Bombyx mori: one gene and its partner. The protein of the gene in region 1 interacts with the protein of each later gene in a pairwise test. Links are inferred from orthologs where the notes say so. Each region holds a gene or a part of one and is shown on either strand. Other genes may lie near its edges. The genes, in order: phosphorylated adapter RNA export protein and cytoplasmic dynein 2 light intermediate chain 1.

Region 1 (4,399 bases):
TAAGCTTAGAAATGGCCATACCATCAATAGTTCGCATGAGATCACGAACCGGAAAATAATTACGCGCTGTGTCTAATAACAGCCCCCGGTATTTGAATCGAGGCGAATCGTCAACTGATGCAGCTTCTAGCATAAACAGTGATGCGACGTAAGGATCAAACCATATTAATTGTATTAAAGTTTCTAAGCCATGACGTGCACCACAGAACGTAGATGCAGATATATCTACGAGCATCAAACCGTCATCGGAATTAGGGCGAATTACAAGTTTGTAGTTTTCTTCAGTATCTATACGCATTCGTGGATCTTCACTACCATTTATGGCAATCCGGACGAGTACACTTCGCCGCTCTTCGAAACCAAATGCTGACTGTTCGAGTCTTTTAACATCTTCCCGAAATAATTCAAAGGACTCTTGTAGATATTCTTGAACCGTACGGGATGGAGTTAATAATATTTTCAATCTGAAAGAGTCAGCGTGTACTGGCACAGCGGTTGTGGAAAGGCTGATCGCTCCCCTTGGTTGAGGCCAAATTTGACCTCCTGCACACAACATGTTACATGTTTCCAGAGATTGTAATTTATTCGTGGGATCGGGACGAGATGGTACACATTTTTCATTAATACATTCCCAAGTCCATAAAGGATTTTTGCTCCTGCTTAAACATACATTATTTTTTAATATGTAGCCAAGTTTCTTTTAATATTAATGAAATAACTATTGGATTTAAATATTTTAAACTAACCTGAAACTACAATTGGAAAATGTGACAAGAATTTGCAATCCAAGTACTAGATAGTATCTCGATACAAGTATCATTCCACAAAATATTCCTTCCTGGAAACATTATTTAATATTTAACATAATTTAATAAACATTGTGGTATAAATTGTATTGTTGTGCAGTGCCAATATAAAGAATAGCAACATCAAATTCCAAAAGTCAAACAACGTGCAACCTTGTAAATCAAATTTTTTTTTTTTCTGTAAATTTTAAAGATAAATATTATTTAATTTATATTATTTTCCGTTATTTAATTCATTCAATTTAATTCCATATAAATTAAATAAATTCAAATTATTTTATTTCATTTTCATACAATAGCCATAAGTTTAGCCTTTTTTTAAAGCAAATTGCCCGTGTAGACAATAATCTCTTTGGTCTGCTAATTCATAAAATCAAATCAAGTCTATGTCTAAGACAGCGACTGAGTTTTGCCATATGCACTGTAATTACAGAAGATTCACTATAATTTTTTTGATTTTACTTTCTACTACGTTTTTAAAAATGCAATGTATGAAAAACAAGTTGAGTAAATAAAAATATCTGTTCATCAAAGTGAGATACAACCCTCTACTTCTAAAACAAAATAAATTACAAACAACAATTCCAGGATTAGTTGTTACGGTATGAATATTTTAGAATGGTTGCGACGTGATTCACGATATCCCTATCGTGCCTATTGTGCAATACATCGATGAATGCCGACATGAGGGCATTGAAAAGCCTAAGTTCATCAATAATCCAAGAACTAAGATATTTTTAAAACTTCTACGGCAAGCGTATTTTAAATGTCGTCAACGTCTTTAGTATCAATGCCTTAAACCGCGAAAATAAAGCTAGCAAGTTGTATTACTAGGAAAACGAGATATGGAGGATGCGCTATAACCACGAGTTGTGTGATATTTACAAGGATCCTAATATCATAACAACTATAAAAATTGAACGCCTACGATGGGCAGGACATGTGGTTCGAATGGAGAATACCAGAATGCCAAGACAACTGCTCTATGGCAAATCAGAGGGCCGCAGAAGTCGTGGCATACCCAAACTCCGATGGTTGGATGGCGTGGAGTGCGACCTCAAAGTTATCGGTGTCAGGAACTGGAAGGAGAAAGCCCTGAACAGAGCAGTCTGCAGAGACATACTGGACCAGGCTAAGTCCCACCCTGGGCTGTAAGACCTAAGATGATGAGGTTGTATTACTGAGCATAGAATATCTCAAAACTATAGATCTTCTAGTTGACTTTTTGCCAAAAATGTTTCCAGATTCCGAGATAGCAAAGAAAATCAAAACAAAATTCTGCGCCGTAAAAAATAATATTTTGGGCCCACATCATCGGGGCATTGACCCGCAGACACAAGGCACTGAGTTTCTCGCCGAATCATCTCAGTGGATCTCGATTCCGATCCAGTAGATACAACGAAGTACTGAACTGATCCCCGATAGTTGCATTGGTTTTAGCAAACGTCCGAAATCTCGAGGATGAGGATTTTATGAACTTAGCAAACTTCATGTTCAGCATCTCAAGACTATGAAATTCAAACGTAGAACATGACGAAAGGTTAGCGCAAGAAATGGCATCAAAAGAAAGAAAATGAATCGGTTGCTTAAATAAACAATCAAGTGAAATTTTTAACACGCCCTTACCGGTTGCTTAAATTTTAAACCAAGCTATAAGGCTTTCATAGTTAAAATTAATAAAAATGAAACTGCTTTATGTTAGACAGAGAATGATTTATTTTATTTTTAATTAATACATGTGATTTTCAGAACATAAAGGTATATTTATTTACCTGTAAAAGTGCAGTATTTAACTAGAATATACCGTATATTTTATTTAAATAATAAAACGCTGTAAAATATAAATCTTGTCTGGCAGCACTGCAGTGAATACCGAAAACTAGGGGACTTTTTGGCGGGAACGCGAGGAGTGAAGTTGTGTGATTTGTTTTATTTTGTCTATTTAGTGTTTCTTCGGGTTTAAATGTGTAATAATGGTGGTTTATTAACTGTTTAATATCTGTGAAAGTGCACAAATGTGGGAAAATGAAACAAAGCCTCTGGACGTAACTTCTCGGGATCCTCCAAAAAGTCCACTGAAAAAATCTCAGTAAATGACCACCATTTTACTAAGATTATGTTTCATCCCATATCATGTCATTTCATCCCAATAGATTAATATCTCAAATTAATCATCTTCATTTCATATCACTCCATATTATCATTTTTCATAAAAATAAGAATATAAATTAAAAATAAGACATGACTTAAAGGTCTCAGTAACCAGGTCATAAAACCATTTAAAAAAAAAATTACTGAAAACTATACTCTATACCAAAGTTTGCTATCTATGACTATGTTAAATACAAAAAGACAAAAGTGCTAAAAATTTTGCAATTAGCCGACTAGTATTTGTGTATGAGTTTCATTATAATACCTTAATGATAAATGACATTCTGGTGCTAAATCAATCACATCAAGATGATGTCGACAACAGAAGTGGAAATAGACTTTGATCCAACAAGCGAGCGCGAAGAGGGGGAGGTGAGCTTTTGTAATAATTCCTTCAAATTTTCGTGTATTTTTCTGCGTTGTAAAATATACAATATTTTCAAGAACCCCAAAGTAATCTACGAATATTGTTTTGGAACATTAAACAGATCATGTTTTGGTATACCCAGTATTTGATAATTGTTTCGCTTTTGAAAACATTCAACGTTTCTTATAAACAAAAGATGTTGGCCAAAAGTAATATTTTTGACCTATCGTTTTTAAGAAAAATGTGTTAGGAACACTTAGTATTACATTCTTGGTTGTGAAACCACTCTAAAAAGATACAGCTAAAACACGTCATGTCAAAAATAGTCTTTTGAGAATGGTAAAAAAGGTCAATTTTTTTTAAAAACAAACCTTTTTTATTTTTAATATCGTACAAATATCGCAATTCTTACCTTCATAAAATAAGCTAACAATAACTTAAGTTGCTCTAAAAACCCAGCACTTAACTTGAACCTGTTTGCTGTATCTGCCCAGAAACATTAAGATGTAGTAATGTAAATGAACTTACGACCCACCTGGTGTTAAGTGACCAAAACAAAAAAAAAGGGGAAGAAAATACTCAAAGTACCATCTGGCTTGGAATAAGCTTCCCCACCACGGTGTTTCCCAAGTGCTAGACATGTTCTTCTTCAGAGGAGGCTCGCGGAAAGTGCTCAACGGTGGGCAGCTTGGCTCTATCCCTGGCATTGGTAACGCCCATGAGTGACTGTGGACCGCATGCCTGAAAAGCCTGAAAAGGCAAAAAATTTTTTTTTGCTGTACTATGTTATTTTCATCTTCATAATTTTACTACAGAAACTTTATGTGGAAAAAGATCAATCAACATTTGTTGTTGTTTTATGAATGTCAAGTACACAATTTGAAGAATAAACCAATATAATTCTTTTCAATTATTTTTTCTATATATTGTCGTCATTTTGTTGTACCTAAGTACAAAAAGTTCTGTTCTTTGTATTGTATTGTATAATTCTCATATTTAAGTTTATTTCTAGTACAAATCACAGGAAGGCGTTATTGTACCATTTACCAATATATGGTATTGGCCAGAGCATATT
Region 2 (4,294 bases), on another chromosome or scaffold:
ATAAAATTGAGACTTCGACCTCATATCTGAATGTGAGCAGCCCATTATATCTTACATAGACCCTAAAAATGTCCAACCACCTATTATAGTGCAGTGAAAGAGTGATGGTTTAGGGGAGCCTCCTTAGGCTATTGCAAAAGTACCAATCTCTTTATGATAAACGAACATTTTCAGGGTTCCGTAGTTTTTATACACTTTTGCTCTATTCTAATTGTTAAGTACATTTAGGTACTCGTAAAAAATCTGTATTCAAACCCAATGTTTTGTTAACAAAGCTTTTTGAATTATGCCTTTCGCTCATTTAAACTCGTCTTTTTTTTCCACATGTTGGCTGGACGAGTTCACGGCCCACCTGGTATTAAATGGTTACCGGAGCCCATAAACATCTATAACGCAAAGTACTCTAAATATGAAATTATTGACTAACCTCATCGAAAGTCGATCTTGCCACCCCAATATTTTCCCAGGTATCTGCCCCTTTATTTATAAAAAGTGGTTTTGTAGGATTTGTTTGTTTGTCTTTGATAGAAATCCCATTCTCAAAACCAATACTGTTAAAAATGTCTTTAGCTCGTTTAACTAACATCGATTCTTTGGATGAATAAAACATTAAATGCGCGTCATTAAGTAGTGCCACACTTCTAAGAGTACTGCAGACAATCTTTTTAGCTTCTGTATCTAAAAACATAATTATTTTTAAAAATTCAGTCTTTTTTGTGGCTTGGTATATTCCAGCTGTTTTCGAAGCCAAAAAAGTGTATAATGTTCTTGATTCCTTAGCTAGAAACAATATTAAACTCTTTTGAGACTGACTACCCAAATCCAAGTGGGTGACTGCAATGGCATTGTAATGTCTATAGGATCCGGTAACTATTTAACATCGTGCGTGCCGTTTAGCTGTTCGTATAGCCACTGAATGCTGTAACGCAAAAATAATGTTCAAAAGTTAATTAGTGAAATAGTAACGTTTCTTAAATAATTATGGTCAAATAATATACACGGGACATACAGAATGGTTTATGACATCACAAACATAACTTAATGGCATGCAAGAGCGATAGCGATATATTCCCACTAATCTTCTTTATAGGTACCTATAGGTATCGATCCTTTTGCGTGTTATCAAAACTTTGTCCAGTAGAAGTGAAGTATTATTTTAAGGAAAAAAGGTTTCTACAATATTAAAGAAATTTATTTAAATTAGTGGACTGTCCCAGGAAACAAGACCCAGTTTATTGTAGTATAATGACATTAACCTTGACTTGAGGCGAAATTATGTCGTTGAACTATAAAGTTCACTATGAAGTCGTTGTAGCCTAAAGGATAAGCCGGTGCATTTGTATCTTGCAATGCACCGAATTCCGCGGCAGGTACCAATTTTTCTAATGAAATACATACATAACATATGTTCACGATTGACTTCCGCGGTGAGGGAATAACATCGTGTGATAAAAATCTAACCCGCAAAATTATAATTTGCGTAATTACTGGTGGTAGGACGTCTTGTGAGTCCGCGCGGGTAGGTACCACCACCTATTGCCACCACCTGCCTATTTCTGCCGTGAAGCAGTAATGCGTTTCGATTTGAAGGGTGGGGCAGCCGTTGTACTATAAAAACTGACACCTTAGAAATAATATCTAAAGGGAGGTGACGGAATTTATATTGTAAATGTCTATAGACTCCCGGTAACCACTTAACACGAGGAGGTCCGTGAGCTCATCCACCAATTAAAAAAATATTTAAAAAAATGGTTAATATTAGAATAAAGTGCACTAACCAAAATTCTTAAACAGGTCATATTTTCCACACAAAATAATCAAATTTGTTACACAGTTATCGGATATAGATTGTGTTTCATTAATTGCATGAAGACATATTTCGATGGTTTGCAATAAGGTCTTCGGTTTACTCAGATCAACCATTATACAATAATAGTAATTCTTCGTTTTAGGCAGCACAGGCAAAACATTCTTTAACATGTCTAATTTTCCACCGTATTCCCAAATATGACACACGTTTTTATCAATTGCTTGCTTAAGATTTGTTTTTCTTCCAAATGAATATTCTAACACAAGAGTGTTCCGTGGAGTTTCTAATTTTTCCAAAAACATATGAAGCAGTGTTGATTTACCCTAGAATAGTATTGTAAACGTACACTATTTACCTAAGGTTTTTTTATTGCCCATGTAGGCAGACGAGCATACGGCCCGCCTGATGGTTCGTGGTTACCGTCGCTCATGGACGTCAGCAATGCCAGGGGCAGAGCCAAGCCGCTGCCCCTACCGTTTAATACTCTCCATAAGCCTCGTTTGAAGAAAGTATTTTGTAATATCAGTAGTGTATTTAGTAGTGTATAGTAGTATTTTGTAATATCATTTTGTAATCTCCTTTCTATCCTAAATAAAAGCATATTCTTAGCTTATGAAAAAATCATTAATTTATTGATATTCATTTCTAAACGTGTGAATGTTCAACATTTATAGTGTTTACTTAATGTAACTACAAACAAATTTTTTAAGGCAGTTCGATGTACATAATATCATGTAATTAATATAGTATATATTAAATAAAGATCAATACATGTGTGATTGACTCTAAACTTGGTGCCTTGGAGTTGTTACTTTAAGGAAGGTTCTGTTATTACGTACGGTAACGCTATCGATAAATAGCGGGCGAGAGAAAATAAGACGCACCAAAAATAAAATTTCATACTATTCAGCTTACCCACCACGTTTTTACTGCCTGCTAAGAAAATAGTCCGAGAATTGATTTCGTCTAATTGCTGCTCCTGTGTGTCTATAATTTGTGCTGCTCTCTCCGGTATAGACAACATTTTATAACGAATTTATTTAAAATATATTTGATTTCCTATTTGTTGCTTTACTTCTAAAGATATCACGGTACACCCAATTATTTATATTGATTGCTTGTTGAAAATATATTTGTTGTTATGTTGTTGCTAAGCAATGAGACTCGAGTACAATTAAGTGTATAATCTATGCTCGAGTATAAAGGTTTTAAATCAATAAAATGGCAGACAGTCTCACGGCCCAACTGGTGTTAAGTGGTTACCATAGAGCCCATAGACATCAACAACCTAAACGCTGTATCAGGTACAACGGCTGCTCCACCCTTAAGGGCCTTATCCATAGTAGCGGTTTGCGAGCGACTGCGGGGCGGAGCGGATGCGCCGTGAACCCGCCGCGACGGCACATCGAGAACGTCGCGGACGCGTGGGGGATACGCAAAATTTTGTAGCGAATTGACGACGTACAATACACTCAGTAATAAAATGGATTCCTTTTTTTTTTTTCTACTTAAGCTGATAAGCCTTGAGAGGCTATTTCAGCGTAACCGTGGCTAGTAGGTGAGCTCACGGGGCTTAAACCTGACGACGACGACGATGCTAACACGAACCCTAGCAAGAGCCGTGCTTCGCAGAATCTACCACCGGATCGGAAACGCGACCCACTGAGAAGATCCGGCGAGAAACTCAGTGGTCTGTATCTGAGAGTTAATTTACTCGTCGAGCCCTTCGTCGCAAGCGACGGGTTCGACGAGAACGGTGACCGGTGCTTGAAGTACCTAAAAGCACCGTTAGTGGATCGGGAGGATCCGAGATGACGTGTTTTGGGCGACGTCGACTGCTTTCCATTCTGTCCGCAGGATCGGGAATGTAGTTACCGGCGGCCACGATGAGAGGGTTCTCGTGTCGTGCCGCTTTATCGAAGTGGCGCATCGACGCCGACTGAAGATACTTACTGATGGACTCTAAGTCCAGGTCGTCATGGAGGTCGACGTTCCTGACGAACCACGGGGCTCCGACGGCTATCGTGTAAAAACGGGATTGAATAATTTGGAAAGATTTTAAGTGAGTGCGGGCCGCGTGAGCGAACACTACACTTGCATAGGTCATGACGGGGCGTATGCAAGTTTTGTAGAGTGTCACCTTATTTCTAAGGGACATTTTACTTCGCCTGCATATCATCGGGTAGAGACGTCCTAGAATGAAGGCGGCACGGTCGCGTACCGTCTTGATGTGAGGGCGGAATGTCATCCTACTGTCGAGGGTGACGCCTAAATATTTGACCTTCGGGGCCCACGGTATGGGCTGGTCGAACATCGTGATTGGGCGAATGGCGGAGGTGTCGACGCGCCTAGTCGGGAGAGGGATGCTCAGCGTGGTGTTCGGAGGGCGACACCTTTTGAAGAGCACCGCTGTGGTTTTTGTGGGGTTGATGTCGATGCGCCACTTCCGGAACCACTGTCCCATGGTGGTAGCTGCGGTCTGAA

What was found.
Region 2: the proteins of phosphorylated adapter RNA export protein (region 1) and cytoplasmic dynein 2 light intermediate chain 1 interact in a two-hybrid assay, tested with the Drosophila melanogaster proteins (2 studies listed by BioGRID). The link is inferred for Bombyx mori from reciprocal best matches to the Drosophila melanogaster genes Phax and CG3769.

The regions. Positions count from the first base shown.
Region 1 is NC_085125.1:10,882,505-10,886,903, forward strand, and holds the start of phosphorylated adapter RNA export protein, read left to right. Parts: upstream 1-1,332; 5' UTR 1,333-3,266; coding exon 3,267-3,329; intron 3,330-4,399. Other genes in the region: probable beta-hexosaminidase fdl, read right to left, coding at 1-659, 747-820.
Region 2 is NC_085118.1:10,604,108-10,608,401, forward strand, and holds the start of cytoplasmic dynein 2 light intermediate chain 1, read right to left. Parts: upstream 2,975-4,294; 5' UTR 2,835-2,974; coding exon 2,730-2,834; exon of another isoform or gene 2,726-2,729; intron 2,134-2,725; coding exon 1,779-2,133; intron 679-1,778; coding exon 428-678; intron 1-427.